7 linked regions of the Danio rerio genome follow. The protein of the gene in region 7 binds, or shares a complex with, the protein of the main gene of each other region. Links are inferred from orthologs where the notes say so. Each region holds a gene or a part of one and is shown on either strand. Other genes may lie near its edges.

What was found.
Region 1: med20 (region 7) and med19a share a complex: the UniProt entries of both Homo sapiens proteins name them as parts of the mediator complex. The link is inferred for Danio rerio from reciprocal best matches to the Homo sapiens genes MED20 and MED19.
Region 2: med20 (region 7) and med18 share a complex: the UniProt entries of both Homo sapiens proteins name them as parts of the mediator complex. The link is inferred for Danio rerio from reciprocal best matches to the Homo sapiens genes MED20 and MED18.
Region 3: med20 (region 7) and med24 share a complex: the UniProt entries of both Homo sapiens proteins name them as parts of the mediator complex. The link is inferred for Danio rerio from reciprocal best matches to the Homo sapiens genes MED20 and MED24.
Region 4: med20 (region 7) and med21 share a complex: the UniProt entries of both Homo sapiens proteins name them as parts of the mediator complex. The link is inferred for Danio rerio from reciprocal best matches to the Homo sapiens genes MED20 and MED21.
Region 5: med20 (region 7) and med25 share a complex: the UniProt entries of both Homo sapiens proteins name them as parts of the mediator complex. The link is inferred for Danio rerio from reciprocal best matches to the Homo sapiens genes MED20 and MED25.
Region 6: med20 (region 7) and med1 share a complex: the UniProt entries of both Homo sapiens proteins name them as parts of the mediator complex. The link is inferred for Danio rerio from reciprocal best matches to the Homo sapiens genes MED20 and MED1.

What each region holds. Positions count from the first base shown.
Region 1 is NC_133189.1:26,390,844-26,395,081, forward strand, and holds the end of med19a (mediator of RNA polymerase II transcription subunit 19-A), read right to left. Parts: intron 3,509-4,238; coding exon 3,412-3,508; intron 3,332-3,411; coding exon 3,243-3,331; intron 843-3,242; coding exon 777-842; 3' UTR 584-776; downstream 1-583. UniProt on the Homo sapiens protein: Component of the Mediator complex, a coactivator involved in the regulated transcription of nearly all RNA polymerase II-dependent genes.
Region 2 is NC_133191.1:7,708,761-7,713,238, reverse strand, and holds med18 (mediator of RNA polymerase II transcription subunit 18), read left to right. Parts: upstream 1-1,612; 5' UTR 1,613-1,878; coding exon 1,879-1,951; intron 1,952-3,723; coding exon 3,724-4,277; 3' UTR 4,278-4,424; downstream 4,425-4,478. UniProt on the Homo sapiens protein: Component of the Mediator complex, a coactivator involved in the regulated transcription of nearly all RNA polymerase II-dependent genes.
Region 3 is NC_133187.1:11,197,304-11,201,074, reverse strand, and holds part of med24 (mediator of RNA polymerase II transcription subunit 24), read left to right. Parts: intron 1-1,483; coding exon 1,484-1,564; intron 1,565-1,712; coding exon 1,713-1,861; coding exon of another isoform or gene 1,862-1,906; exon of another isoform or gene 1,907-1,946; intron 1,947-1,996; exon of another isoform or gene 1,997-3,696; intron 3,697-3,771. UniProt on the Homo sapiens protein: Component of the Mediator complex, a coactivator involved in the regulated transcription of nearly all RNA polymerase II-dependent genes.
Region 4 is NC_133179.1:2,082,798-2,087,029, forward strand, and holds med21 (mediator of RNA polymerase II transcription subunit 21), read left to right. Parts: upstream 1-1,527; 5' UTR 1,528-1,572; coding exon 1,573-1,614; intron 1,615-2,227; coding exon 2,228-2,342; intron 2,343-2,428; coding exon 2,429-2,529; intron 2,530-3,101; coding exon 3,102-3,281; 3' UTR 3,282-3,596; downstream 3,597-4,232. UniProt on the Homo sapiens protein: Component of the Mediator complex, a coactivator involved in the regulated transcription of nearly all RNA polymerase II-dependent genes.
Region 5 is NC_133178.1:29,240,491-29,244,742, reverse strand, and holds the end of med25 (mediator of RNA polymerase II transcription subunit 25), read left to right. Parts: intron 1-30; coding exon 31-189; intron 190-2,945; coding exon 2,946-3,054; intron 3,055-3,213; coding exon 3,214-3,320; 3' UTR 3,321-3,714; downstream 3,715-4,252. UniProt on the Homo sapiens protein: Component of the Mediator complex, a coactivator involved in the regulated transcription of nearly all RNA polymerase II-dependent genes.
Region 6 is NC_133187.1:16,874,129-16,877,899, forward strand, and holds part of med1 (mediator of RNA polymerase II transcription subunit 1), read left to right. Parts: intron 1-298; coding exon 299-500; intron 501-3,771. UniProt on the Homo sapiens protein: Component of the Mediator complex, a coactivator involved in the regulated transcription of nearly all RNA polymerase II-dependent genes.
Region 7 is NC_133197.1:573,608-578,157, forward strand, and holds the start of med20 (mediator of RNA polymerase II transcription subunit 20), read left to right. Parts: upstream 1-1,722; 5' UTR 1,723-1,948; coding exon 1,949-1,962; intron 1,963-3,291; exon of another isoform or gene 3,292-3,450; intron 3,451-4,438; coding exon 4,439-4,550. UniProt on the Homo sapiens protein: Component of the Mediator complex, a coactivator involved in the regulated transcription of nearly all RNA polymerase II-dependent genes.

The sequences.
Region 1 (4,238 bases), on a different chromosome or scaffold from region 7:
TAATAAAAACTATTTCAGCAAGGAAACGGATCACGACTGGCTGGTCTGAGTATTTCAGAAACTGCAGATTTACTGGGATTTTCATGCACAACCATCTCTAGGGTTTACAGAGAAAATATTTAGTGAGTGGCAGTTTTGTGGTCTTGTTGATGCCAGAGGTCATAGGAGAATGGCCAGACTGGTTCTTCTAACTGATGGAAGAAAGGCAACAGTAACTCAAATAACCACTCATTACAACCGAGGTATGCAGAAGAGCATCTCTGAACGCACAACACATCCAACCTTGAGTCGAATGGGCTACAGCATCAGAAGACCACACCGGGTGCCACTCCTGTCAGCTAAGAAAAGGAAACTGAGGCTACAATTGGCACAGGCTCACCAAAATGGAAAATAGAAGACTGGAAAAAACTATGCCTGGTCTGATGAACCTCGATTTCTGCTGTGACATTCGAATGGTATGGTCAGAATGTGGCATCAACAACTTCAGGCTAGTGATGGTGTAATGGTGTGGGGGATATTTTCTTGGCACACTTTATGATCTGTTATTGTGAACAAAAAAGAAAGAGTGTGTTTAAAGACTGTATAAAGAATAACAAAGTTTATTCCTTGAGCTTTTCATCATAACCAGAAAAAGAAGTCAAAAATCATCAACAATTGGCCCTTGTAAACATCAATCAACCGCACTGGTCCATATCAGATTCTCTAACACAGTTCAACATCACTTCATGTGTGCAAACATACATACAAACAAGCACACTCGCACACACACAACTGTTCTATCTCAGGCTGTTGCTGTTGGGTTGAGATCCAGTAACACCAGGATGATCAGGACTGTGTCGATTCTAAAAGAAAAGAGGGAACAGACCAAGACCTTTTAAATGCATTAACAAGACTAAATGGGGTGTACTTTAAATGTGACAGGTCCCAGCAATAAACAAGTAATTATTCTACAACATAATTAAGGTATCAAGTAGATTCTAGGGACATATTCTACACTGTGCAGACCATCGATTTGATTTTGAATGCCACTAACATTGAGCATTTAATATTGTGTTATAGGGATGCGCAATATTGGAAAAAATATATCTCTGCAATATATTTTACAATATGAATAAAATTTCACCAGATGACTGTCTCTATTTGGAAATAATTTATAAAATTAGATTCTTATAATTACTATTTTTAACATTTTTGGGGTCCTCTGGCACATTTTCATTGTGGTCTGTGCTATTTGCAGTGCATTTCTGTATTTGCATGTGTTGCGAGTATTTTCATGCACAACAATCTATAAATACAATCAAGAAAAAGATACAAATAAAGTGTTTTAATACAAATAAAGTGTGAGTCTAACAGTATTCAAGTAAAACTTGAATGATAAAAATAAAAAATAATTAAAAATTAATTGTTGTTAAAGTCACAAATGGTACAATTTCATATAGCTGAATGTTTTTAAAATCATTTATACAATCAGCGGCATCAAAAACACATGCAAATGTGCGATGTGACTATAGCGAATGATCACATTGTGATATTGATGCTGAAACAATATGTTGTGCAGCCCTAATGTGTTATATTTTAATATTATTTATAAAATGTTATACTGCAAAATACTGTCTTGTTTCCTATTGTGAATAACTTATCAGTTACTTAAATCAAGACACATTTATTGAGAAGCAAGATGTCTAAAGTAAGTTTGAAAATTTATTTAGTTTTAGTAAAAGATAAAAACAATGATTTTATTCAAATAAATTTAAGAAAAAAAATTAAATCACACACACATGCATACGGTTTAAAGCATAAATGAGTTGCAACCCTTTTGGAAAATTCCTATTTTTTTTAATCAATTTCTCTGTGAATCGTCAATATATTTTGGTGTTGTATCAAACTGTTATATTTATTCAAATTAAATTAAATCGCCTAACGCATTCAGGAATAGAGAGACAGAAAATTTGTACAAAAAGTTTCTCATTAAAGGTGCAGTAGGTGATCTGCCAAAATGCTAACCGGTTAGCATAATATCTTAGAAAACAGTCCCACCCCTATTTTTCAAAGCCACGCCTCCTGAAATCACAAACACGCACTGCAAAGATGACAGTAGACAGCCCACTAACTCTTGTCATTCGCCAGTTGAAAAACTTTACAATACTTTATTACTGTAAAGTACAAAATACTGTATTATATCCAGCATGTTTTCAGTCGTGTAGCAAGCAAAACTTGTCATAATGTGCAATATTTCATCCATACAAGGATCGTTGGTCTCACTCTCTCCCACGTTTTGTCCTAAAGCCACTACTGTATGCTTAGTGGTTGGCTGGCGGGTGCAGGAATTACACTTTCGTGCATATAACACATCCGTGAAACAACAGAATCTACATCAGCTTTGTGTGACTTAATAGTTTTAAAACAGAACATGACCTGTCTAAAAGAAATACTTCAGCCATGGTCTCGTTCTTCCTCCAGCATAAAAACTAACTTCAATATTGATTCAGGATTATAAAGTTTTGTTTCAGCATTTGTTTTTACTGGTCGCGCTCTCTCTCATGTGCACGTGAACGCACGTGCACACACAAACGGCAGATTTGCACGAATAGCAGCGCAGATGTACAAGTCTACATTTGTTGACAGACAGTTTGGGCTACTTATCAGAATTATGGGAATTAACATTTTTTAGTCTTATGACTTACCCAGAATACAAAAATACATGTAAATACATTTAGATCATTTAATTTAATCATTACTATAGGAATGTGAAGAGACTTTCAACCTGCACATCAAAAAATGTTTCTGTAGACAATCACCTACTGCACCTTTAATTAATTTGGCTGGTCTCATTTTTAGACCGTGATGTTAAGTCTTTTTGTTAGATCAGTTCCAGTCTTAGCTTTAGTACTGACTAATCTAAAGTATATATGCACAACTATATTAGTGTAAAATATTCATGTAAAAGAGGGCGCATTCATTAAGCTTACACATCCTTTTAAATGTAAAATAAACACAGTTTACTGTTGAAATAATATTTGTGTGAAGCAAAAATGATAAATAATTATAAAGAGCATTGTTCAAGGCTGCTCAGATGTTACACCAAAGCAAAGCTGCTTCCTATGTGTATACATTTTTAAAATTTTAATAACGCATTATTATTTATACAGGAACATCCTGTAGCATTCAACCTTGTTCAACAATACACTTTTTAATTATTGTAAATTTGTAAGATTCTGCGCCGCATCAACAAAGTGGCTCACCTTTTTTTTCTTCTTGTCTTTCTTTTTCTTCCTGCGTTCAGGTTCATTATCTTTCTTTTTCTTCTTCTTGGTGGGGTCAGTGCGGGTTTCTGCACAGGGAAAGGAAGTTAACATGCATGTGGTGCACAGAGGAAATAAAATGTGAAAATCCATGAGCTTTTGAAGTGACCTAGCGGTAGAGGATCCTGAGGGTGATGATGTCTGTGTTTGTGTTTGCTCTTCTTCTTTGGTGGCTGTATGTGCATCAGTCTGTACTGCTCAGGAAGCTGCAACACAAACCAACACTATAAAGATGAAGCTCAAAGAACACATTTAGATTGCTTTAGAAAATATGCTGTCTACATCTTGTTTAAAAGGGGACCAATTGTGCAAAAATCCCTTTTAAAATGGCTGATTTATACTTCTGCGTGATCGCAGTGATCCACGGTGCCTGCCTTGCGGGTAGTCGTGCATTTATACTACTGTATACATGCTGTTTGTGTTGCTCTGCAATAACACTTCCGTACACTTGCTGGCAGTAGGTTATGTTCCTCTGTGTCGAGTATCTTCATGGGTATTTCGTTTTTTCTGAACGCTACAAGTAGCTAAAACTCACTCATTAAGTGGCTGTTTAACTGGGAGAAAAATAAAGTGTCCATTCTAGTAATCTAAACAATGTGAATTTGATATGAATTATGTATATCTATTAATGTTAAAAAATAATTATTGCCATTTCAGAAGACTTCAGGATTAAAAGACGGAGAGTGAAAATAAAAATCTGATGGAAAACACATATAAACTGAGATTTACAAGTGCCACTGGCCTCTTTCTCTGGCTCAAAATGCTTCAAGCCACATTTAAACATTTGCTATCATTGTTCATTTGTAATGAGAGAGATAATAACAACTAAAAAAACTCCTCGATGGTGTTATCAAGACTTTTAGAAAAAGGAAAAAAATAGCGTGAGACTGATGACGGCAGCCAGAGGAGTGAATGCCAAATTTACTCTCAGCCCCA
Region 2 (4,478 bases), on a different chromosome or scaffold from region 7:
CTTAAAAGAGGAAATTTAAATATAAAAACACTAACGTTGGCTCTGCTAACTTGGGCTAACTTACTGTTAGCATTTAACACTGTTTATGACAAACAGCACAGGAACGAACAACTTTAAAACGACACATCTTTAAAAGACCAACTTATCTAATGTGTTTGAGGCATTTATTCGCCTATCTGAAGGTGTCAGACTGATAATGTGTGTAAATAAATAAGGACTGACAGAAAAACACAGCACTCGGAGACACACCTTTGGAGCTGGTAACAACACCATAACTGTCTCGATTACAAACACTACTGCATCCAAACGTAAGTAAAAGACACATAATAGTAAATTACATTCATTAGATGTCGACAGGAAGCATTACAGTTGAGCTCATCTTCAACAGCCAGCGATGTCATGCAGCCCTAAGATGGCACGAAACTTCAAAATAAAGGTCTCCACATGTCGATTTATTTTCAAAATAAACGTCACAGTGCATTTAATGTTTTCCACAATAAAAGTTACTCGACTGCTTTGCGTTCATGGTTCATACCATTGGTTCATACGTACGTACTGCATGTAAATGGTAAATATGCATGTTTAAGCTATTTGGAAATAATATGATATGAAATAATAACAATTATTAAAACAATATAATTTTTGGAAAATATGCTTAACGTGAGCTTATAAAACTAGGTATTTATGAGAAATGCACATAACTAAGAAAATGCTAGAAAAAATAAATAATAAAATAACAATATAATAATAATAAATGATGATGATGATGATGATAATAATAACAATATTAATAAAAAAAGTCCTGCCAGTGCACTGAAACGTATAATATACTTAAAGTAACTTCCCTCATTGACTAAATTTTGACACAAAATATAACTTCATTCATTCATTCATTCATTCATTCGTTCATTTTCTTTTTGGCTTAGTCCCTACAGGGAGGGACATTCAACATGCAAAATCCAAACAAAAACGCCAACTGACCCAGACGAGGCTCGAACCAACAACCTTCTTGCTGTGAGGCGACAGCATTACCTACTGCGCCATATGGAAAAGTATACCATTTACTGTCTTTTTCTTTCTTGTATTTAATTAACCAATTAATTTTGAATGTATTGTTTAAAGTTTTAAAAAATGAACACCGATAACCCACCATTGCATTTTTGTTTACACATAATTTTCCATTTTAAAATAGTGATTTCCATTACTCCATAAAAAAAAATATATTGTATTTTAGGAATAGCCTAATTATTTCTTCATGTAGGACATGTTCCAGGATAGATGTCACTCCATGATTGCATTGGCAAAATCACACCCACCTCTTAGAGCCATTAGTTTTTCTGCAAGCAAACACCTTGACTTGAATTTGATCAACAGGGCAATCGGCTTTTCGCAACCATAATTGATGTTCTCCTGCTATTAATAATAGGCTAATAATACTCAATTTTAATACCCATTTTATATGATAAAGAGTTCACTTCAGTCCAGTAGGTGTCACTAAATGCACGCCTAAAAGAATAGAGCAAGCGTTGCACAATGCGCATGCGCAGTACTCGCTATCCATACTGCGCATGCGCTTTACTCACATGGACGCAGTTTCATCGAGACACATTATTTTTTCGTAGTATTTTACGCAAATCATTAGTTTTGTTTATTGCTTTTTGATACAAGTACAATATATGCTATTTTTAATTCATCGTCTGCCTGCTTTTTGTTGATAATATCTTCTAACACGTCTTAGCATGTCTATTGTTGTGGATGTTTTCTACAGCAGTTAAAGTTCTAGTTTAAGTTAATCTTTCAACTGATCGTTGACTGTAAATGTATTAAGAGACTTAAGTTCAGAATTATAATACTAGTAATAGTAATAATAATAGAGTGATGGAGGCTCCGCCGGTTACTGTGATGCCCGTCACGGGTGGAACTATAAACATGATGGAGTATCTTCTGCAAGGTAAACAACACCATCAGCACAACTCCTTTTACCATTCATTCATTCCTATTTATCATTTGTTACACTTTATTAAATAGTTTTAACTTAGTTTTTAAATACCCATTATGAGCAATCTCAATTTTTTAATTAGCAAAGTCATTTGAATAAAGCGTTGAATATGTTAAAGTGAATATGTAATTATAAACAATACACACACATTTTCTAGCGTTTTAAACTATTTTTATTTAACGCACCCTAATCTTCTTTAATTCCTTAAGACTTTTAATTTGGGATTCTGTATAATAAAAACATGTACTACAGTATTACTTTATGAATGTGCTAACGTTATATAAAACGAATAGTTTAGCATAATAATAGTATGTATACAATGTATTCATTGTAGTGTTTGTAGTATTATAATTTACAATTGTTATAATTTAAATTATACAATTATAGCATGCACTGTGCTACACGAGAGTTCTTTTTGCTGAGTCTTATTGTTTGCATAATATAGTTTGCTTATTTGGTCATATATTACCATTCCTACTTAAACCGTTACCAGATTTGTGTGTGTTCGGAGTAAATACATTTTTAACAAAATTATACAGCTAATTCATAAAGTATAATCAATAACACTTTCAAAATATGGTCTCATTAGTAAATCTTAGTTCATACATTAAAACAAAAAGCCACAGTGAGGGATATCGACATTTATTACAGTTAATAAGTTAATGTAAGTAAAAAAATACAACTGAAATGTATTATTTAATAACTAAATTTATTAAAACAATTACATCTTTTTTTTAGTGACTTATTAAGCATTAACTAAGAAATTGACACCACATTGCGAGAAATTGTGACATTACTTGAGACAAATTAGTCACAATTACAATTTTATTTTTATTGATGTATAGGAACAGGCTTAAATTATCTATCTATCTATCTATCTATCTATCTATCTATCTATCTATCTATCTATCTATCTATCTATCTATCTATCTATCTATCTATCTATCTATCTATCTATCTATCCATCCATCCATTCCCCTATCTATCCATTTATCTATCTATCTGTCCGTCCGTCCGTCCGTCTGTCTTTCTGTCTGTCTTTCTGTCTGTCTTTCTGTCTGTCTTTCTGTCTGTCTATCTATCTATCTATCTATCTATCTATCTATCTATCTATCTATCTATCTATCTATCTATCTATCTATCTATCTATCTATCTATCTATCTATCCATCCATCCATTCCCCTATCTGTCTGTCTGTCTGTCCGTCTGTCCGTCCGTCTGTCTATCTGTCTGTCTGTCTGTCCGTCCGTCCCTCCATCCGTCCCTCCCTCCATCCATCCATCCATCCATCCATCCATCCATCCATCCCCCATCCGTCCATCCATCCATCCATCCATCCATCCATCCATCTATCTATCCATCTATCTATCTATCTATCTATCTATCTATCTATCTATCTATCTATCTATCTATCTATCTATCTGTCCGTCCGTCCGTCCGTCCATCCATCTAATCTTCCATCCATCCATCCATCCATCCATCCATCCATCCATCCATCCATCCATCCATCCATCCATCCATCCATCCATCCATCCATCCATCCATCTATCTATCTATCTATCTATCTATCTATCTATCTATCTATCTATCTATCTATCTATCTATCTATCTATCTATCTATCTATCTATCTATTTATGCCCCTAATCTATGCATCCATCCATCCCACCCCCTATCTATCTATCCATCTTGACTTGGCTGTGTTCTGTTGGTTTGTTTGGCACAGGCAGTGTACTGGACCAATCTCTGGAGAGTCTCTTGCATCGCCTCCGGGGCCTGTGTGATAACATGGAGCCTGAGAGCTTTGCTGATCACGAGTTGGTGTATCTCCTGAAAGGTCAGCAGGGCAACCCGTTCATCCTGCGTGCCCGCCGCTCGCTCCTCGACCCCTCCGTCCCCTGGCACCTGCGCTATCTGGGTCAGCCCGAGGTGGGCGACAAAAGCCGTCATGCCCTGGTGCGGAACTGCGTGGACGTGGCAGCCTCGCACAGCTTGCCTGACTTCCTCAATGAGATGGGCTTCCGCATGGACCATGAGTTCGTGGCCAAGGGTCAGGTGTTCCGGAAGGGTGTGATGAAGGTGGTGGTGAGCAAACTGTCGCGTGTGCTGGTTCCTGGAAACACGGATAACACGGAGCCGCTCTCTCTGTCGTATCTTGTTGAGCTGAGCGTTCTGGCTCCTGCGGGACAGGACACTGTGTCTGAGGACATGAGGAGCTTCGCAGAACAGCTCAAACCTCTCGTTCACCTGGAGAAGATTGATCCCAAAAGACTCATGTAGAGAACATGACCTACAGACTGAGATTTTTAATTCGGTGAATAGGTGTTAAGACTGCATTTATTTGGAATATTTTTGATGATTGTTTTCTTTTTTTGTAATTGATGAAATGCTAATTAAAATCTTTAAATAAAAATATTCATTCATTCATTCATTTTCTTTTCGGCTTAGTCCCTTTATTAATCCGGGGTCGCCACAGCGGAA
Region 3 (3,771 bases), on a different chromosome or scaffold from region 7:
GTTCTGTCATTTACTCACCCTTTACTTGATTCAAACCTTTACTTGTTTTCTTCTGTTAAACACCAAAGAAGATGTTTTGAAAAAAGCTGGAAGCCTGTAACCATTGGTTTATATACAGTTGAAGTCAGAATCATTAGCCCCTCGTTTGATTTTTGTTTTATTTTTTAAATATTTCCAAAATTATGTTTGAGCAGAGATAATATTTAGATAGTAGTTTGTCTTGTAATATTTTTTTCTTCTGGAGAGGTTTGCTTATTTGCTATATTTCGGCTAGAATAAAAGCAGTTTAAAATTTTTTAAAAACAATTTTAAGGTCAAAGTTATTACCCCCTTTAAGCTAATTTTTTTTTCGATAGTCTACAGAACAAATGACCGTTATATAATAACTAGGCATGTTATTATAATTGGGCAAGTTAACCTAATTAACCTAGTTAAGCCTTTGTCACTTTATGCTGTATAGAAGTGTCGTGAAAAAAATATTTAGAAAATTATTATTTACTGTCATCTTGGCTAAAATAAAATAAATCAGTAATTAGAAATAAATTATTAAAACTGTTATGTTTTGAAATGTGTTAAATAAATCTTATCTTCGTTAAACAGAAATTTGGGGAAAAAAATAAACAGGTTGGCTAATAATTCAGGGGTTCTAATAATTCTGACTTCAGCTGTAGTACTTGTTTTTCTAACTATGGATGTCAATGTTTACAGGATTTTATTTTCAAAGTGTCTTTTCTGTTCTACAAGATAAAAAAATAATAAAGTTTTGAAACTTCTTGGGGGTGCGGAAATAGTGAGTAAATTTTCATTTTGGGTGAACTATAATTTGTTGGTAACACTTTACAATAAGGTTGTATTAGTTAATTTATTTAGTAACGTAATCAAACAATGAACAATACATTCATTACTGCATTTGTTCATGTTATAGGTAACATTAGTTAATAAATACAGTTGTTCATTGTTAGTTCATGTTAACTCACGGTGCATTAACAAACGTAAACAAGCATGCATTTAGATGTCACTAATACATTAGTAAATTAATAAATGCTGTGCAAGTATTGTTCATAATTAGTTCATGTTAGTAAATAAATTGCCTAATAAAACCCTAAAATTGTAAAGTGTGCCCAATTTCTTCTCTATACTCTTTAAAACAAGATACGAACTAATTTTTTAAAGTCTTTTAGACAAAATATTTTACAAATAGGAAATCAAAATCTAAAGCTTCAATAGCTTAAAGCTTAATTTTACACTTTTGTTACGACTAGTCTGTCACTTTCACAAAAAAAGGAAGAGCTAGAAATGAAAGTTGGTTTTATTTATAAAGTAAACCGAGAAAGGGAAGTTAACAGGACTTGATTTATTAAAATCTGCTTTGATGGCTATTAGAACTTAGTACTCATTTCTGTTTTGTGATTTCAACAAAGGAACATCTTTTTTTGACGATAAGAACAGACACACTCAAAATAACTGATGTTGTGTTCTGTAGGTGACCGTTCCATAAGCAGTTCACTGTCTGCCTCTCAGCTCCACACCGTCAACATGAGAGATCCTCTCAACCGAGTGCTGGGTTTGTGCTCATTTTCTCCTGAATGTATAAATTAAATATCATATTCGCAATCTTGCACCTTAGTACCATAATCATCATAGCATCTCACACTCTTACAGACTGTGCCATTTAGTCAAAAACAATTCTTATGTTTTTTTCCCCTTTCTAGCAAATCTCTTCCTGTTGATTTCCTCTCAGTTGGGGTCTAAGACAGCAGGCCCACACACGCAGTTTGTTCAGAGCTTTGTTGAGGAGTGTGTGGACTGTTCAGAGCAAGGCAGCCGCAGCAGCATCCTGCAGTTTATGCCCTTTACCATGGTGAGGCAATCATCTTGTGTGCATGCTCAGCACACACACACATAGAGAGAGAGAGAGACAAACTTGAAACCTACTTTGGATAAAAGCCTCTGCTAAATGTAGAGCTACAAATGCTGCACGCAAACACACATGAAGATAATAAAAGTGGTGAAAACATCAGTTAAGAAGGCATCTGAATATTTAGTACCAACTGTACAGTGTGAACCCAGTTAAGATTATTTGGATGGAGGCAAATATATGAAGAATTCGGATACAAAGACCGCTAAATGCATTTCCGGCAAAAACTAGATAATGACATTGCTTTAGGCACGTAGTACATGTTCAACAAAGAGTTTTGTTTGAAATGATCTAAATCCCAGCGTCAGTGCATTTAGAAATAACAGTTTGTTTGCAAAAGCCGCTAAAGGCCACTTGCCTTTGACAGCAAAAGCCGATATATCCCGAGAACCAATCAGAAGGCGTGAATCGAATCATATGTTTTCAATATAGCAGTGCGCTGATACGCCGGCTTTATGAGTCTGTTTCATTCCGCTTTCGATTTTAAAAGATGAAGCTTGATGAACTGGATGAGCCTCTCCGACTGTCAGTGAATGGCAAATAAAAGTCCTGTACTTCAAAACTCATAGGAAAATGGAAACACAATATACAGTTGGAAGTGTAACATGCATTCATAACGTTTGTTTGCGCTGCGGCGCTACTTTAAATGGGTCCGATTTACTCTTACTGCATTAAACACCAACTTCATTTCATGAAATAAAGTTAAGATGCTGTTCTTTAATCCCGCGTGGATGCTATGAGGATAAACAAGAGACCAAAAAGATAGCAAGATCTTGAGTATAGTGAGGATAGATAAATGACAGCTCCTGAGAGACATCCTCTTTTTTTTTTGCACAGTAGGTCTACCTTGTGTTTTATTTGCTAATGCAAGCTATGTTTTAAAAGATAAATATAATGTATGCAACTATACGTTATTTCTATTACTTCAACAAATTCTTTTCTTTTCTTTAGTAATGGACAATGCACAGATATTGATGTGTCACAATGTTTTACACTACATTATTTAAATCTAACAAGCTTGTTTAAATTGCTCTACTTGCATTTAATCCAAATCCCAAATATCAAAAATGACAACAGATTGTTAAGATTTAATTATTGTCAATTTTAATGTTATTGATTAATGCACTTACTTGACAGATATAATTAATTCAATTCCTTCTGCTTAGTCCCTGGTTTATCCAGGGTTACCACAGTGGAATGAACCGCCACTTACATGACAGATGTATTTTTAATTTCAGGTGCTTTGTGTAATGTGTTTCATGTTTGGTAAAATAATTTCTAATTGTATCTTCAGTGATTTTCAACTAATTACACTGTCTTGTATCAATAGGTGCATTTAGAGGTTTTTGCATAAAAAGCACTAGTGGATTTAGCTGGTTTTGATGCAAAATAAAATCTACCTTGTTAAAAACCAAAGAATTGTATAAAGTGATATTTTTGAAAAACATTTATTTTATTTACCAGCTAATAACTTTATCATTACATATAAAATGAACGCGCTCATTTAAAAGAAAAGAGGTCTGATGGATTTAGAGCAGGGGTGGGCAAACTTGACCCTGTAGAGCCGGTGTCCTGCACAGTTTAGCTCCAACTCTCATCAAACACACCTGCTTTTAGATTTTGAGTGATCTTGAAGACACTGATTAGCATGTTCAGGTGTGGTTGATTAGTGTTGGAGCTAAACTGTGCTGGACACCGGCCCTCCAGGATCAAGTTTGCCCATGCCTGATTTCTAGGGTTTTGCATCTGAACTCTTCATCTTTTCATAGAATTGTAAGTCATGCATGTGTCTATGTTCTCTTGGTTTGTGCTCAAATTGCAGTAATCCTGATGAACAAAATAATGTTTATGTT
Region 4 (4,232 bases), on a different chromosome or scaffold from region 7:
CATTTTATGCAAGTACTCTGACAGACCTCTGAATGTTTTGGGTATAATAATGTTTATATCAGCACCAAATTGCATATTTTTGCTCAGTTTATACATCTGATTACCGTAAACTTATTATCTTCCCAAGTGTGAGATTAATATTCTTACTATATTAGTCGTAATGAATGTCTTTCTTGTGTATGAAAAATTAAACAAATAAATAAATCAGTCACTTATGTATTTAATTATTTTATGCATTGTCTAAGATTCACTAAAGTGTTAAATTATAATATATATATATATATATATATATATATATATATATACATATATATATATATATATATATACATATACATACACACACACACACACAAACACATATATACATACACACACACACATATATATGCATGTATGTATGTATGTGTGTGTGTGTGTGTGTGTGTGTGTGTGTGTGTGTGTGTGTGTGTGTGTGTGTGTGTGTATTTACATTATCAGCAATCATCACCTCATAAATATCAATGTAGTCCAGTTTATAAACAGTACAAGCAGTCATAAAACCCAAATACACTAGAACAATAATAGTTAGCTATATAGAGGTAAAGTCTGTTTTATATTCACATATTCAGACTTTCTCCTCAATAAGGTAATTTCAGAAAAGTAATGTTTACAAATTCTAAATAGGGAAATCATTGTCGATGTTGTTTTGAAGTCATCCTTGCCTGCTAATGTCTATCGAATATTCAAAGTAACGTTAACGTTAACATGGTAAACAATACAGAGACTGCTAAATAAACGAATGTGCGACTATAAAAGCAACGTTACCTCTATGTTAGCTATTATGTGGTAACAATAATAGGGTTATTTCAGATTGATATATTGACCTTAAATCAGTACACGAATCGATCACTAATTGATCAGCATTTCATTCTTAGGATTATTATTTCAGATTGATATGTCGGCAGCTGATTCACTCTACAAACACGAATTATTTGTCACATGTGTGCGTTTAAAAGGGATTATATAATTAATTAAGCGTGATAAGTAAGATATTTTGGGATGTTTGTGTTTATTTAGCGTAACGGTGAACTTTAGATCAGTTGCAACATCATATCAATCACTAATTGATTAGAAATACATAGTTGACATGATTGATTTCGATTCATATGTCGCTAAATGAGCTGAGTCACACTTTAAACAACTGTTATTTGCCACATATGTGCGTTATATAGGGATTATATATTTTATCAAGCGTAATAAAGAAGGTATTAGGGGTTTAACGTTACTCACTCTCATCCTGAGCGCGCAGTGAACCGACCCACGACAAGACGAGCAGAACCAAACATTCTCTCTTCAGTGGCATTTTCCCGGATCAGTCCAGTCCATAAACACGCTTTAGCAGAAGCATTTACATTCGGCAGTCATGTTGAAGCTTCACATCCAGCCTCCGGAAGTGTCAAGCACTCCTGCTTTGCGCGAAAATGCAACAACTTTTCAGTAGACGAGCGCTTTCGCTGTACGCTGCGCTGTATCACGTGATGTAGCATTGAACGCGCTCGGCGGAAACGGAAACTGTGAAGAGGAGCCAACATGGCCGACAGGCTAACGCAGCTTCAGGATGCTGTGAACTCCGTAAGACTCATTTAACGTTTATTTTATACTTCAGAAACTGCAGAACACAGCAAATGTCTTCCGAACAGATTTACTTAATAGTCTGGTTCATTAAATTGGATTATTTGCTTAAGAAGTCATGTTGATGTACTGTAGCGTCTGAAGTGTTAGCATAGCGTGCAATTTGTGAACAAATGAACAGGTGAAGTTTGTTGTCATATGTGTTTTGATACTGTAATAAATGTTTTACTTGTTATAAATAAAACGAAACTGAAAATAATAGTCCTATTATAATCTAAGTAAGTGTATATAAAAGGCACCGTTATATAATTATAATATAACATATAATATATACATACATTTCTGTAAGTGCTATTGTTACTTATATATTGGTGAAGTACACTTAAATATTTCTTTTTTTGTGTTCTTCAAAGTGCAATATTAATTATTTTTAAATTGTTTTAAATTAATGTTGTTTAATCAAACATTACATGTAATTGTGTTTATTCATATATTACATAATTCACAATCTTAGCACTGAGTACTAATACTTCTCATCATGTCAAAGAACATGTAAACTGAAAGTAACAGTGGATTGTCCTGCATGTCTGATTTACTGCATGTCGTGTTTCAGCTGGCGGATCAGTTCTGTAATGCGATTGGAGTTCTGCAGCAGTGCGCACCACCGGCCTCCTTCAGCAACATCCAGACGGCCATCAATAAAGACCAGCCCTCAAACCCCACAGAAGGTGCTCTCATCTGCACTGATCTGAATGTGATCCACTTTGAAAATAATGTGTTTTGAAGTTGACATACTAAGATGTGTTTTTTCTAGAATATGCTCAGCTGTTTGCAGCGCTGATAGCAAGAACAGCAAAAGATGTTGATGTGCTGATCGACTCTCTGCCCAGTGAAGAATCCACTGCAGCCTTGCAGGTACATTTATTATATACACACACACACTGTATCACTGGCCAACACCACATTATTATTATTGAATCATTATATAATTATTGAGCCTTCTGCTGTTTAAAATATGGTTGTTCTGCACTTCAGGTTTTGAGTTCTGGCACTCAAAGAGAAGAAAATCAACTGTAAATTATATTGTTGCATTAAAAATGAATCTCAGCTTAACCTGTGCATCTCATATCCATTTCTGGAGAGCCACTGCTTTGCACATTTTGAGTTATGCCTACATAATGGACCTGATTATAAATATCATCTTGCTAGAAGAAAGCTCCAGAAGCTGCACTGAATGTACAGAGCAGTAGGAGCCCAGAAATGGATTTGAGAAACACTGAAATATACCATGACAATAATACACAAATGACCAATTAGCTAGATATTAATCATATTACAAACTTGATTACTGTTAATTGCTCATCCCATGCCACATATATTGCACATCTGGCTCTGTGCTACCCATGTTGTCCAAGTACAGAGTGAACAACAATACATTAGCATTATACCTCGTCTCTACTTGTTGTCATTTCTGATGCGTTTCTTAGGCCGCCAGTCTGCGACAGCTGGAAGAGGAGAACCAGGAAGCTGCAGCGCGTCTGGAGGAAGTGGTTTACAGAGGAGACGCCCTGCTGGAGAAGATCCAGACGGCACTAGCAGACATCGCCCAATCACAGCTCCGCACCCGCAGCGGAGCCCCGAGTCAGCAAACACCTCCAGAATCCTGACAGAAAAAAACCACAACATGAACTATAGTGTCGGGACACAGCAGGGATTTTATACGCATCCTACATCGACTGCAGGAGACTCACTGTTTCACATCGGTTTCTGGACTAAAGAAAGCTGATTTCCCATCGCATGTCTTTATTGTGCGACCTCTGTTTTTTACCTTGTGTAATGTTCATCAGCGTGTTACTACCATTAATAGTCAGCTTCTGGGTATGTTTTGTAAATTAAATGTTGTTTTTTTCCCTCACCAGCATTATGCTGATACTCTTGTTTTGAAAGAAGTTATGTTTAACAAATAAAAATATATTGTATGACATGCTTGTTTTTATTTTTAACTTTGACCTGTTCAGGGTTTAACGCTATGGATTTTTTCTACTGGTCCGATCGGGCCAGTGGTTCAGATTTTTACTTGCCCTGCCAAATTTTTTACTGACCCCACCAAAAATAAAAAAAGAAGAGAAAAAAAAGCTAAGATGATAGCTATTTTTAGCCACATATTTTAAATAATGTGTCAAAAACAATGTCTGTGAATCTCGAATTTCAATACTTAAAGATGCTTTAATAAATAATGAGCAAAATTCAAAGTGTTATGCAAACAAAAAGAGCAGTATGGAAAATGTGCAGGTTTTTTGCAGTTCAAAATCTATTAATAAAAGGTGGTTGACTTGTTAAACTGACGGCAAATTGTGTTAAACATCACTTCATTTTGTTGTTGTGTTGTTCCTACGTAAATATCTGCTTCCAATACATTAGAAACAGACATTCTCTTTAAGCCTTCTAACTTGCTGTTGCTGTCATGTTGCTGTTTCTTTGCTGTACTGGTTGTTGCTAGCGGTCCGTTATTCGCACATGGATGACTCCAGTTTAGCTGGGTTTGGTTATTGACGATTTGATATGATCAAGGATCGTTTAATTCTTCAAAACTGATCTGAAAATTGTTGTCATAGCAA
Region 5 (4,252 bases), on a different chromosome or scaffold from region 7:
CTTCATCACTGTGGTTTTGGTTTCCATTAGCTGAGAGCAGCCGCAACAGGCAATCAGCAGGCGCCGGTCACTGGTGCTCCACCCAATCAGGTCCAAGGTCAAGCTCAGGCTCCTGGTGGAGGCATGCTCCGCCTCCAGAACCCAGGCGCAAACCCCCAGCTCCGCAGTCTGCTCCTCAGCCAGCAACCTGTAAGTGTGCGGCAGGGCTGTTAGTCAGTATTAGGGCTGCACAATATATCGTTTCAGCATTGTGCGCATAAGCAACAGTCACATCGCATGATATATGCAATGTTAAGTCTAAATTATTGTTGACCAGGAGCCACAGAACACATGCGGTTTGTTGAGTCACTGCTAAGTTTAACCATAATACAGTGAAAGTTTATCATTTGCATGTGTTTTTAAAGCCTGTAAAAGTACATTACAATAGAGTTTAAACATTGGGGAACAAATGTTATGATGTTTGGAGGTGTAACAAAGATTATATGTATTTATTTATTTATAATTCATGCAAAAAATGTTTTTTTTTACTTACATTTTAGTTTCTAGTCCAAACATCTACTTTTCAAAGCGATGCTGAAAAACCTGTAACCATGAAAGTCAGTGGTTTCAGCTTTAATCAAAATATGTTGTTTATTTTTTTATTTTTTTTCATAGAATCACTTGATGGTAAGTAAATAGTGAGTAAATGTTCATTTTGGGTGATCTATTTCTTTTTACATTAACATTAAATAAATTGTCGGCTTGTTGAATAGTTTGAATTTGAATAGCTTTGTTGAATAGTATCTTGAGATCATCTGATCTAAACTAAAGGCCTGCAATTATATGGTGTGGCCAGTGAGGCGCTGTAGCACAAGACTGCTATAATTCAGCTCTCTCTGATGCAATAGACTTGCTGCTTTGGAGATTATGGCTCAATTCCAAATGGCACAATTCAATGTGGTCCTGCGGACTTAAAATGGCTGCGTGCCACTTAAGAAGGGTACTCACAAGCCCCTTCTTTGTGGCACTGTATGCACATCAGCTGAGACCAGGGTTTTAATCCACATTTTGAAGTATAACAACAGTAACCAGAGATTTAAAGCAACAACACTAAACTGCAAAAGAAAATATGATGGCGTTGACTTGTGGGAAAAGATGTATACAATCTGATCTGATGTGGTAAGCAGTAAACACATGTAACTAATGGGCTATATGCACAGCTAGCGTTTTCAGCCACTGCTAAACTTCCGGTGAAGGGTTAATGTGACTATTTTAAAGCTTATAAGGTTCCTTTTACAGCATCAACATCTTAATATAATTAAAATACAATCAGTTAAATAATCTTAATCATTTATTTAGTTGGTCAAACATGAAGCCAGATGAAAGACATTGAAAAATTGATGTAAAATACAATTTCATATTTTAAAGAGATGGCAGGCAAAAATGGAATTTTATGTGCTTCATGTCTGGTCTTCATGACCCATTTTATGTCGTATATCAAGCAGGCAGTGAAGATCACTTATTTGTAAAGAAATCAGATCTTAAACGTAACGATTTTGTAATGAAAAGACCAGGCTGGCTGGCTAATAACTAAAAGTCTGTGTGCATATAGCCCACTAGCTGTTTCACTAGTATCTGTACATAGAATTAGTTTTAGCAATTGTAAGCTGCATTGCACTTCAAAAAATGCATTTCTTATATATATTTGTCTTGTTTCTAGTCTAAATATTTCAGAATCCTTTAATTAAGAAACATTTTTTAAAACTGTGAAATTTTGCTTAAAACAAGCTAAATAATCTTGTTTTTAGTTTTGGCAATATTGTTTTTCTTAACCCGTTGGCAGATATTTAGCTTGTTTTAAGGATATACTCACTTAATTTTCAATTCAATTCCTGTTTATTTCTATAGCGCTGTATAGCAATATAGATTGTGTCTAAGCAGCTTAACATAGAAATTCTAATAAACTGAAACTGTGTCAGTCAAGTTTTCAGAGTTAAAGTTTAGCTTAGTTCAGTTCAGTGTAGTTTAATTTTCACTGCTGAACTTCCAAACACTGAAGTGCAAATCCATCCATGAACAGCTCCACAAGTCCCAAACCAAGCATGCCAGTGGTGTGGAACAGACTTCACCAATTGACGAAAGTGAAGGGGAAAAAAAACCTCAGTTGGCCACTACCGTTTCACCTCTGGCCAAAGTTCAACTATATTTTGACATATTATTTTTTAAAACAAGACAATATGTTTTGCTTGTCAATAAAATGTTTCTTGATTTAAGAATTGTTGATTTTTGAACTAGAAACAAAACAAAAAATATCTAAGTATCTAAGAAAATTAAAAAAGAAAGGTAAAAGAAAAGTTAAACTAAAAAATAAATTAAAAACAAGTTTTGTTTTGTTTTTTGCATCTTGGACATTTTTATAACTTTACAACATTTGTAAATAATGCTATATGAATATCCCAAATCAAACAAAAACTGCTCAGGGGTAGCTTAAATAATGTGTTGGTGCTCTTTGGGTAAGGGATTCATAAGGGAGTTGACAGAGTTTGCATGAGCTCGGGTTTTATCTCAGATTTGCATATATATGGAAGTCTTTGACTTGTATTGAAAAAGAAACTGCTTTGCAACTGCTAAAGAAATAATTTCTATACAGTATGAATTACTGCTTCATTGTGATCATGTGATTTAGCAGAATCAGTTGCATTGCTTCTCTGCTTTCACAAATTCTCTTCTGCGGCCTCATGTTGTATTAAATGTGTCCTAATTCACTCGACTGAACTAGTAAGTCATTTTAGCAGTTTTAACCTACTCTTTTATGAGTAGAGTGAAATAAAAATAATAATTTCTTTGATCACATACTGCTTTGACATACTATATAGTGGGAAAGTAAGCGATATTTAGATGCAGCCATGTAAAGTCTGATCTATGAAGTTTGACTTGCTTTTATATGCCAGCCTCTCTATGTACAGCAGGGTGGTATGCAAGGCATGCAGGGGATGCATCCTATCCAGCAGATGGTCCATGCAGCACCAGGAGGGGGCGCTCAGATGCAGCCTCAGTGGAGACAGCCTCACCAGGGTAACGCTTAATTTCCACTACAGTATCATTAGCACCATTTATTTTTATCACATCTGTGACCTTGTTAATTGTGTAAGAGATTGAATTTATTTGCTGTGGTTTATGCTTCATTTCATTTCCCCCCCAAACTTTGTAGATTTATATTTCACATTCCCACAGGTCCACTAATGGTCCCGACGGGTCCACGTGGTCCAGTCACACAGAATCCAGGGATGCCTTCGGTGTCGAGCGTCATGGAGGATGAAATTCTTATGGATCTAATCTAAGGACTGTTTTCCCATCATTCTTTGCTTCAGAGGTTTAATTACGGAATATGAAAGTCATCATCTTTTTTACTTTTTGTTAGAAGAAAGCGTGTAGGGGAAGAAGGACTTTATTTTCATACTCAAGTATTCGTTGATGCTTTTACACACAAACTTATCACCGTATCATGTAAGCGGTTCATATGGAGGAACTGGAGGAAAAGACATTTACAAAAAATTAGGTTCCACTTTGAAGACTCAACTACTCCTCCCATTCATAAATGAATGAATCAAATCCGGTTACTACTGTATTTTTATGAGCATTTTACTTTCTTTCGGTTTTACTTTTTTTATTATTTGTCTTTGAGATCTAGCATGTTGTTTTATGAAAATTAAATAAAGTTAATTTTCTCAAGCAGCTTTTTTTGTGTTAAAAAGTCTCCTAAATGGGCAAAGTGTTCCCCATGAATACAAAGGAAGATGTTTTGAATAGTTCATCTATAATTGAAGTCACAGGGACACAAAACTGCTCATTTATCTGTGTAGTTAGCAACATTTTTCATAACTGATTTTTTTTGTATTATGTAGCCAAAAGCATTTGGAATGAAACAAGTGGGATTTCAATCAGGGGTTGCCAAACTTTTCAACCTAAAAATATCAATGCCGGTGACTCGCGTTTAGGGCTTCACAATTCTGGCTAAAATAGGAATCACAATTTTTATTTATTTTTTTGCTTAAAATCAAGATCACGATTTTCTCACGGTTCTGTAGATGTAAAATAAAGGTTAATAAGTGTAGGCTATTATAATGTTATTCTCAATCATATGGTTAAACAACAACAATAATAATAGTAGGCCTTTGTGTAGGTCTACTGGTGGTTGTATAGGTGTATAGACTTGGATTGATGAACTTGAACATTAACATGTCCTGGTTGTGAATTCACAGTAAGGTGATGA
Region 6 (3,771 bases), on a different chromosome or scaffold from region 7:
TTACATTTGTTTTTTTAATAGGTGGTTTGCTCCATTTTTAGAGATAAAGCAAGTTGATTAAATCCGAGACAAAATCACAGTATAAATAAAAACTTATCAGAGACTAAGGACTAAGTCTTTCATCATCTAAACCGATTTATCAACTGCCAATTTATTCTGAATAGAACATGCTTCCAGTCAATTAAACAGTCAATTAAAACTGCACACATATTATGTTTTGTCATATTTTGAATCCCGTGACATTAAAAATGGTACATCATTTTAACCTTTTCCATGAATTGTCTTTTTATTTAATTAGTCTTTACCAGGACAGCAGCACTGTTATTTCCTAAATGGTGATGCTCCAGTACAAGATGGAAGGTCTCTTCAAGGAGCTTTGGTTTCCAAGATTCCCTTCAGACATCCTGCTCAGGTGCCTGCTCTCCTTGACATTATAAGACATCAGGCTGCTTACAACACGTTGATTGGCAGTTGCGTTAAAAAGGCCTGCATTAAGGAAGGTGGGTTTCTTTCATACTATGTGTGACTGTAGGTGTTTGCAAAAGAAAACTTCTATTTGCACTTTTTTAATCTGTATAGCCATTTTTGCACATTGCAAAAACCCTGCGCTTTCTGAATTTGCAGTGTACTTTTCAAGAAATGTATCGAGCTAAACAAGGTAACCACATACGATTTTGTTAGTTTCCGTCATTGGATTAAGGATATTAGCCCCTTTCACACAGTGATACCGGTAAATTTCTGGAAAATTTCCGGAAAAGAGCATTCACGCATCCATTCCAAAATACCGGTAAATTCTGACATCATTCACCACAAATGAGCTTTAAATGGCTGCACTTGTATTTGTAAACATTTGACTAAATTACAAACTCTGTGGATGATCAATATTGTGAACAACTTTCGCAGGATCACTTTCGTTTATCAAGATGTTCATAATATGTGCGTGTGCAGGCGCTCATAGGCGCACGCAAAGCTTGAAGGTAAACAAACAACGGCTTATCATAAGCATTTCATCGATGATTATTTACACAGTTGGCATTAAGAAGAACATATAAACGTGATCTGACTAACTTCTAGCAGCTAAATGTGTCTGGAAAAATATTCAAAGGCTTTTATCCTCACAAACCGCGCGGACGTAAATGCGTCTGACTGTTGTGATTGGCTAAAGCAGACGTCTCACGTCAGCACGCTCTAGACGTGCACGCGCTTATTACGTGAATCTTCCTTCTGCATTCACACAGCGCAGCATTCCGGCAAATTGCCGGTAATGTTAAAACTTCTCTTTCCGGAAAATAGCCAGAACGAATTTACCGGTATTTTCAAAAAGGACCTGTTCACACATACAACCTCTGTATGTGTGAAAGAGGCTATAGCCTAGTCTTTGCCAGTTTTTGTAATGATGATACATACATTATATGCTATTTATGTGCGCGGGGAAGTATAGGGTGGTGCGTTCAGTGCAGAAAGTCCAGGATTCATGCGTAGTGAGGTACCGTTCAAGGGTCGGGATGGGAGAGGATTCATTATGAAATCATGCCGGCCATCTGCCTCAACAGCATCAGTTGTGTACTCCTCTTTCAGTGAGCTGCAGCAGTCCCCTGATCGGCACAAGTGGTGTGCTGATTGGGGTGAGGGAGCCATCTCTATGGCAGTGCTGACTACACACTGACAGAAGAGTTAATCATAACACTTTTGACCAAGCCGTTACCAGTTTGATGACCTGTTGTCTCGTGTCGGTAGGAGGATTTTCCTTCAGGACACCAACTACAGGCAGTACTTCATAATCGCACCACTACTAGAGTAAGCTCCTGATTGGGTAACACGGCGTGATTGGTTAACATGGCGTGAACTTGAGAGATTTGTGGGAATTACACGTTAAGAGGACCAAACACTGAAATGCTCAGTTTCCGTTGTGTCATTTGATTGAATTAAATGCTTAACTCTTCATCTGATCTGCATCTTGTGTGAACACATCGTTAGAATATGGCCTTGAGTGTGGATGTTGCTTGAGTTGATGAGGTCTATGTGTGTGAATTTTTAGCAATATCATTGATCTTTGACCAACTACACTAAATTCAAATTGGATTATTGGCTGTGATTTTATTTTTATTTTTTTTATTATCTTTGTTTTAGATCCTGCCGTTGACAGTTTTCCATTATGTTCAGATACCTCTTTCTAATTTTACTGTTGTTTTCTAAGATCTCATTTACTGCTTGGTTCTTGCTAATATCTGGAGATTAAGATACCCGTTGGACAAACAGTATATTTTCTTTTCACATGTCCAAAAATCATATTCCAGGATAGACTTTTTTTTTAGTTTAGTCCAAAACTATTCCTTGTGTTAAAAGAATGAAACATCATAATACATCAATGTCTGACCATTCTGCAGTCACAATCTCTGTAGATCTAGCCAAAATTAAGCCTGGCTTTGTATTTAACAGAGCTGCTTGCTGAGTTTCTTAAATTCAATGACATCGGTGAGGTTCCCAGTTTATTGTTATGTGAAAGCTTAAAAGCAGTTCTAAGATGAAACGTATCTTATGAGTCCAGTTTTAAGAAACAAAGGGAAAACGTCTTGTAGAATTTGATAACCGGTTAGATATATACAGGGGTTCTTTAGATTTGGATAGGTTTAAAGAAATTACTACACTCAAAGTGGAATATAATTTAATTCTTTCTAACCAAGTTAACAATATGTTGTTACAAGTTAAACAAAAGCAATTTGAAATTGGGGATACACCTTAAAAATTGCTTTCTTGTAAGCTTATGGTAATTCAAGCCACTAGTGCTATCCATAAAAAAAATTAAAAACAGGGCTGATATTCCTTTAACAAATCTTACATGACCTGGCCCAGATGGCTTTAGTATAAATTTTTCATTAAAAAAATCCCCTTTGCTGTTAAGGATACTTAACCATTAATTTAATGAGCATAGGCTCCCCGAATCCCTTTCATGCGGCAAACATTTATTTAATTCTAAAAAATAATAATAATAAAAAAAATACTTGCTAATAGATTAAACTATTGCTTAGGAAAAAATATTCATCCTGACCAATCTGGATTTTTTCCTGGTTGTTTTTCTTTTATGTTCTCTTCTTTCTTTTATTTTTTTTAATGTCAGGCAGATAAGTATTTTGTACACCAAATCTGATTCTAAAATCAGTCTTTCAATTCTTGCATTGGTTGCAAAAAAAGCATTTGACCAAATGGAGTGCGACTATATCTTGTGATGTGATTAGAGAGTCTAATTTGGGTGACATATGCATTTTTTTGGGTAAGGATTTTCTTTTTACTTGATCATCTCAGTTCCAGTCACATAGAGGCACCTGTTGTGCTCTTTCATCACTGCTTTTTAAAATTGAGCCCCTCACCCTTGCTATCAAAAAAGAATCCCTTGATTTTGCCCCAAAAAATAGGTCAAATGAACCATAGTATTTCTCTTCATTCAGATGATATTATTTTATATCTCTATTCTCTATAACCCCAAACAATCTGCACCTCTGTTAATAGCTATTTAAGAAACATCTGGAAAATTCTCTGGATACTCATTAAACTGGCAAAAAATAAATACATTTTCACAGTGACTAATATTATTGATTTAAATGTATAAATAAATTTACCTATTTAAAATAGCCACAAATAGTTTAAAATATATTTATTTGTAAATATCTCTAGAAATCTCAAAGAAATATAAGAATTTAACACTCAAATAAAATTACAACAACTGGTATAAAAAAAAAACATCATATATTAAAGTTTCTGGATATGACTGGA
Region 7 (4,550 bases):
GACAAAGATGGATAGACGAAGGGATTGACGGAGACCGAAAGATGGACAGACCGACAGACAGATAGAGGGATAGACAGATGGACAGAGATAGACAGACCGACACAAAAATGGATAGACAGATGGAAGGGTAGACAGAAAGACAGACAGAAAGATGGATAGACAGATAGAAGATTAGACAAACATACAGAAAGATGGAAAGACAGACAGACATAGACAGACGGAGGGACAGACAAAAGATTAGACAAACAAACAGAAAGATGGATAGACAGAGACATAGAAAGATGGACGGATACACAGATGGAGGGATAGACATATGGAGGGATAGACAGAAGGACAGAAAGATGGATAGACAGATGGCTAGAAAGAGAGAGATGAAGGGATGGACAAACACAGGATTAGACAGACCAGACGAACAGAAAAATTGATAGAAAAATGGACAAAGATGGAAAGATAGACAGAAAGATGGACAGACGGATGAAGACAGAGGAAGGGATAGACAAACCGACAAAAATGGAAAGACAGACAGAGAGATAGAAAGAAGGAGGACAGAAAGATTGATAGACAGAGGGATAGAAAGACAGACAGATGGAGGGATAGACAAACAGAGGGTTAGACAGATGGACAGACAAATGGAGGGATAGACAGATGGGCAAAAAGACAGAAAAATAGAGAAATAAACAGATGGAGGGATAGACGGACACAAAAATGGATATACAGATGGAGGGATAGACAGACGAACAGAAAGATGGATAGACAGAGGGATAGACAGATGAAGGGATAGACAGAAGGACAGAAAGATGGATAGACAGAGGGATAGACAGATGAAGGGATAGACAGAAGGACAGAAAGATGGATAGACAGATGGCTAGAAAGAGAGAGATGAAGTGATGGACAGACACAGGATTTGACAGACCAGACAAACAGAAAAATTGATAGACAGATGGACAGACGGATGAAGACAGAGGAAGGGATAGACAAACCGACAAAGATGGAAGGACAGACAGAGAGATAGACAGATGGACAGAAAGATGGATAGACAGAAACAGACGAACGGAGACAGATGGAGGCATAGACAGATGGATAGAAAGATGGAGGAACAGACAGACAGATTGACGGATAGTTTGATAGACAGACATATAGATACACAAATAAACAGACAGAGAGACAGACACACAGTCAGTCAGATGAGAGACAGACAGACAGTTGGTAAAACAGGACAGACACAGACAGAGAGAGAGTCAGTGAGTGCAGCATTCACCCAGTCTGGTCGCCGGTGTCCTGCGCTCCTCCTCGGCTGTGTCCTGCAGCTCCTCCTGCTGTCTGCGGGCCTGCTCCAGGATCCTCCGGCTCAGCTTCTCATCCACGAACTCCTGCTGCTCCTCCTGCCCGCGGCCGCGCTGCTTCTGCCGGCCGCTGCAGCGCACTGAGTCCCGCTGGAGGATCTGCTCGGCCAGGGGCACCGCGCCGCCGCTCCAGGCCTTCTTCACCTTCGGCATGATGACGGTTATCAATATTAGTATTATCTGCCTGTCTGTCTGAGGAATTATGAGTGTGAAATCGCGTCTGAACACATGACGCGCCGCGGAGAGCTGCACACACGTGGGTCTGAGAGCAATGGCGCTGAGAGTGTGTGTGTATACATAGATATATGTCTGTAGTGCTGCTCTGAGAGCAGTTGGAGAGATGAGCGCTGTTTTGGAGCGCGCAGAACTACTGATCCCAGAGCGGCGCTGCGTCACACTGTTTACTTCCGCTCGAGGCTCGGCAGATCTCGGCTCTGTTCATTTTTAGCGCGGCTAATGTTTTTATATTACATGAATTTAATGATTGTTAATATTTTTATTTTATCGAATTTAAGTGTTTTACTTTTACTGATTTCGCGTGTTTCACGCAAACTCGAGTGATCCGGAAGTAAATACCCCGGCTTGCGGAAGTTTGTCTCGAAGAAATGGGTGTAACGTGGTGAGAAACACTTTTGTTTATAAAGTATTGTCCTCAAATAATTAATATTTTCAGTTGTGCTTGTTTTGAGTCTCTCTGGTGCTCCTGATGCTCCCGTTCAGCGCTGTTTGAATGCACAGAGAGGCTTTTGCTCCTCATTCATCAGTCTATTTATTGCTTTATACATGTTTACATCACATGTCACTCTTAAAAGTACTTTACAAAACTGTTATTAGTGTTGTGTAGAACACAATGAAGGCCTGTTATTATTATCAGGTGCACGTGTTCATTCAAACTAACATTTAAGATGAAATATAAGGATATTTGACGAGGTTTTCCCGAAGTTTTGTATAAAAAAAAGTGTAAGATTATCAGCTTCATTTACTGCAAACATATAAAAAAACATTTAACAAGTTTTGTAGTTTACAAGCACTCATTTAAGTAGTGTTCAGGGAGTCCGCGGGGTCTTAAAATTTATTAAAGTGCCCATGAAATGAAAACTAGCCTTGTTGTTGTTGTTAGCTCACAGTGCTAGTTCTGTGGTGAATAATTCATCTGTGCATATTATTGAGAAAATGTAATAGTTTGCCCTTCTAATCTTTAATTGAAATCTGAAAATGCTCTTCCTGTTTGTTTTCAGTTAAATTATCAGATGGTGTGTTTTTGAGAGAGGGGTCTGGCTGCAGACCTGGTGCAGATGCAATCTGAGCTGCATCCAATACTTTAAGCTGTGCTTACACTGGGCTTTTCTCACCATAGACTTCATTCATACACGCGAATGCGTCAGACTGGAAACGCAGGGTCATGCGTCAAGTTTCGCAGGTCACTTCAGTGCAAAGTTCAACCTTGGTGAAGTCGGACCTGCGAAATCACATCACTTGACTGCGGGAGACCAATCGAGGATCAACATGAGCTCTCTGGACAGAAATGAAACACATGCAGCAATCACTCGCTTTATTAATGCCTAATCATCTTGTTTAATCCCGCCCCTTTTCGCAGCGCCGTACGGCGGACTTTCGCACACGCAAGCTCTAGTGTGACTGCAGCTTTAATGTGCTCACCTAACCCCACCCCTCAAAGTGACCTCACTAGCTCAATTGTGTCCGACATTGCATCACTAAGAGATGCAATCTCAGCTTGCATCACAAAGGCTGCATCCAGATACTATTGGTTTTAGGCAATGGGCGGGGCTAACATTCATAACCACGCCCCTCCAGCTGTCAGTTTTGACAACAAACAGAAATGCTGAGCTGGGGTCCGTACGTTGCTTAAATGATCTTGATGATTTGGCAGATCCTTGATCTGTTCATCTTGATAACTGATCTCTGGCTAATTTGGTTCCTCAAACAGGTTCGTGAATTAGATTAAAATGTCTGGATGCACATCTGAGATCAGCGTGTGTTGTGAAGGGCAGATTTATCCATCCCCAAAATCATGATCAGCAATGCAGCGATTGGCTGACGGCACAGCAGCGCAATGACATCATCTGATCAATATTCAATTCTCCATGTGAGCAAAATTATTTAAAATTCTTAGTAAACGGTTTGTTAAATATGACACACAATAACTTCCCATGTTTGTTGTGAGCTGCAGGCTTTTTTACACATTCATGTGTCAAGAGTATTCAGCAATTTATTTTATTGTTAGAGCAGATTTTCCTTATTACAGTCGCCATATTAGTATTATAGTAGCCGGTTTCTTAATTGGTATAAAGATTAACAGGATGTTTAAATTAATTTTGCATCACAAAAGCATTTTACTATTGGTAAAGATGTCTGCAACTTTTTTGAAGGCATTAAATCCCAGTCATATTACCGAATACCTGCATGAATGTATTATTCCTTTATAAAAAAAGGTTGCATTAATTTTCTCTTTGATCCACCAGGTGGCAGTATTTGTACTTTTATTTCGGAGTGCAGATTGCATAAGTTTTATTTATATATATTTTAACTTATATATATATATATATAGTTAAAAAATATATTTACTATTTTCCCAAGTGTATATAACTATATAACTACTGTAATAAAAGATCAGAATTCGTTACATAGTTTCAGTATTATCTTTGCTTGAACTGAACCGATCTTATCCTGTTTATATGAAACAAGCTGCTGCTCCCCAGCAGGTTTGAGCTACCAGAACTATTGATAGGACAACAGCTCTCAGATGAGTTTTGAAGAGCGTAACGATCCTGGAACATGTCAAATCGTCAATAACCAAATCCGTTATATAATAACTGAGTAATGCATGTACGAAGAACGGACCCCTGGGGTTTGGTTTTCATAGGTGAATTACTCAAGTATATCAATCTATCTATATAGCTAGATAGACAGACATTACACATATGCACACACAGACTCGCACAATTATTTTTATTATTTATTTTTATTGATGTTTACACTGATCAGAATGATCTTGCTTTAGTAAACTACCATTTTGAAACTGTTTTTAATTGTAAATAAATTAAACGTCTCAAATGTGTGTGTGTTTGTGTCAGTGTTTGTCAGGTGCCAGTGGCCGAGGGTAAGAGCGTCCAGCAGACGGTGGATCTTCTCCACAGGAAGCTGGAGCAGCTGGGAGCCGTAAAACAGGGGAACTTCTGGGTGGAC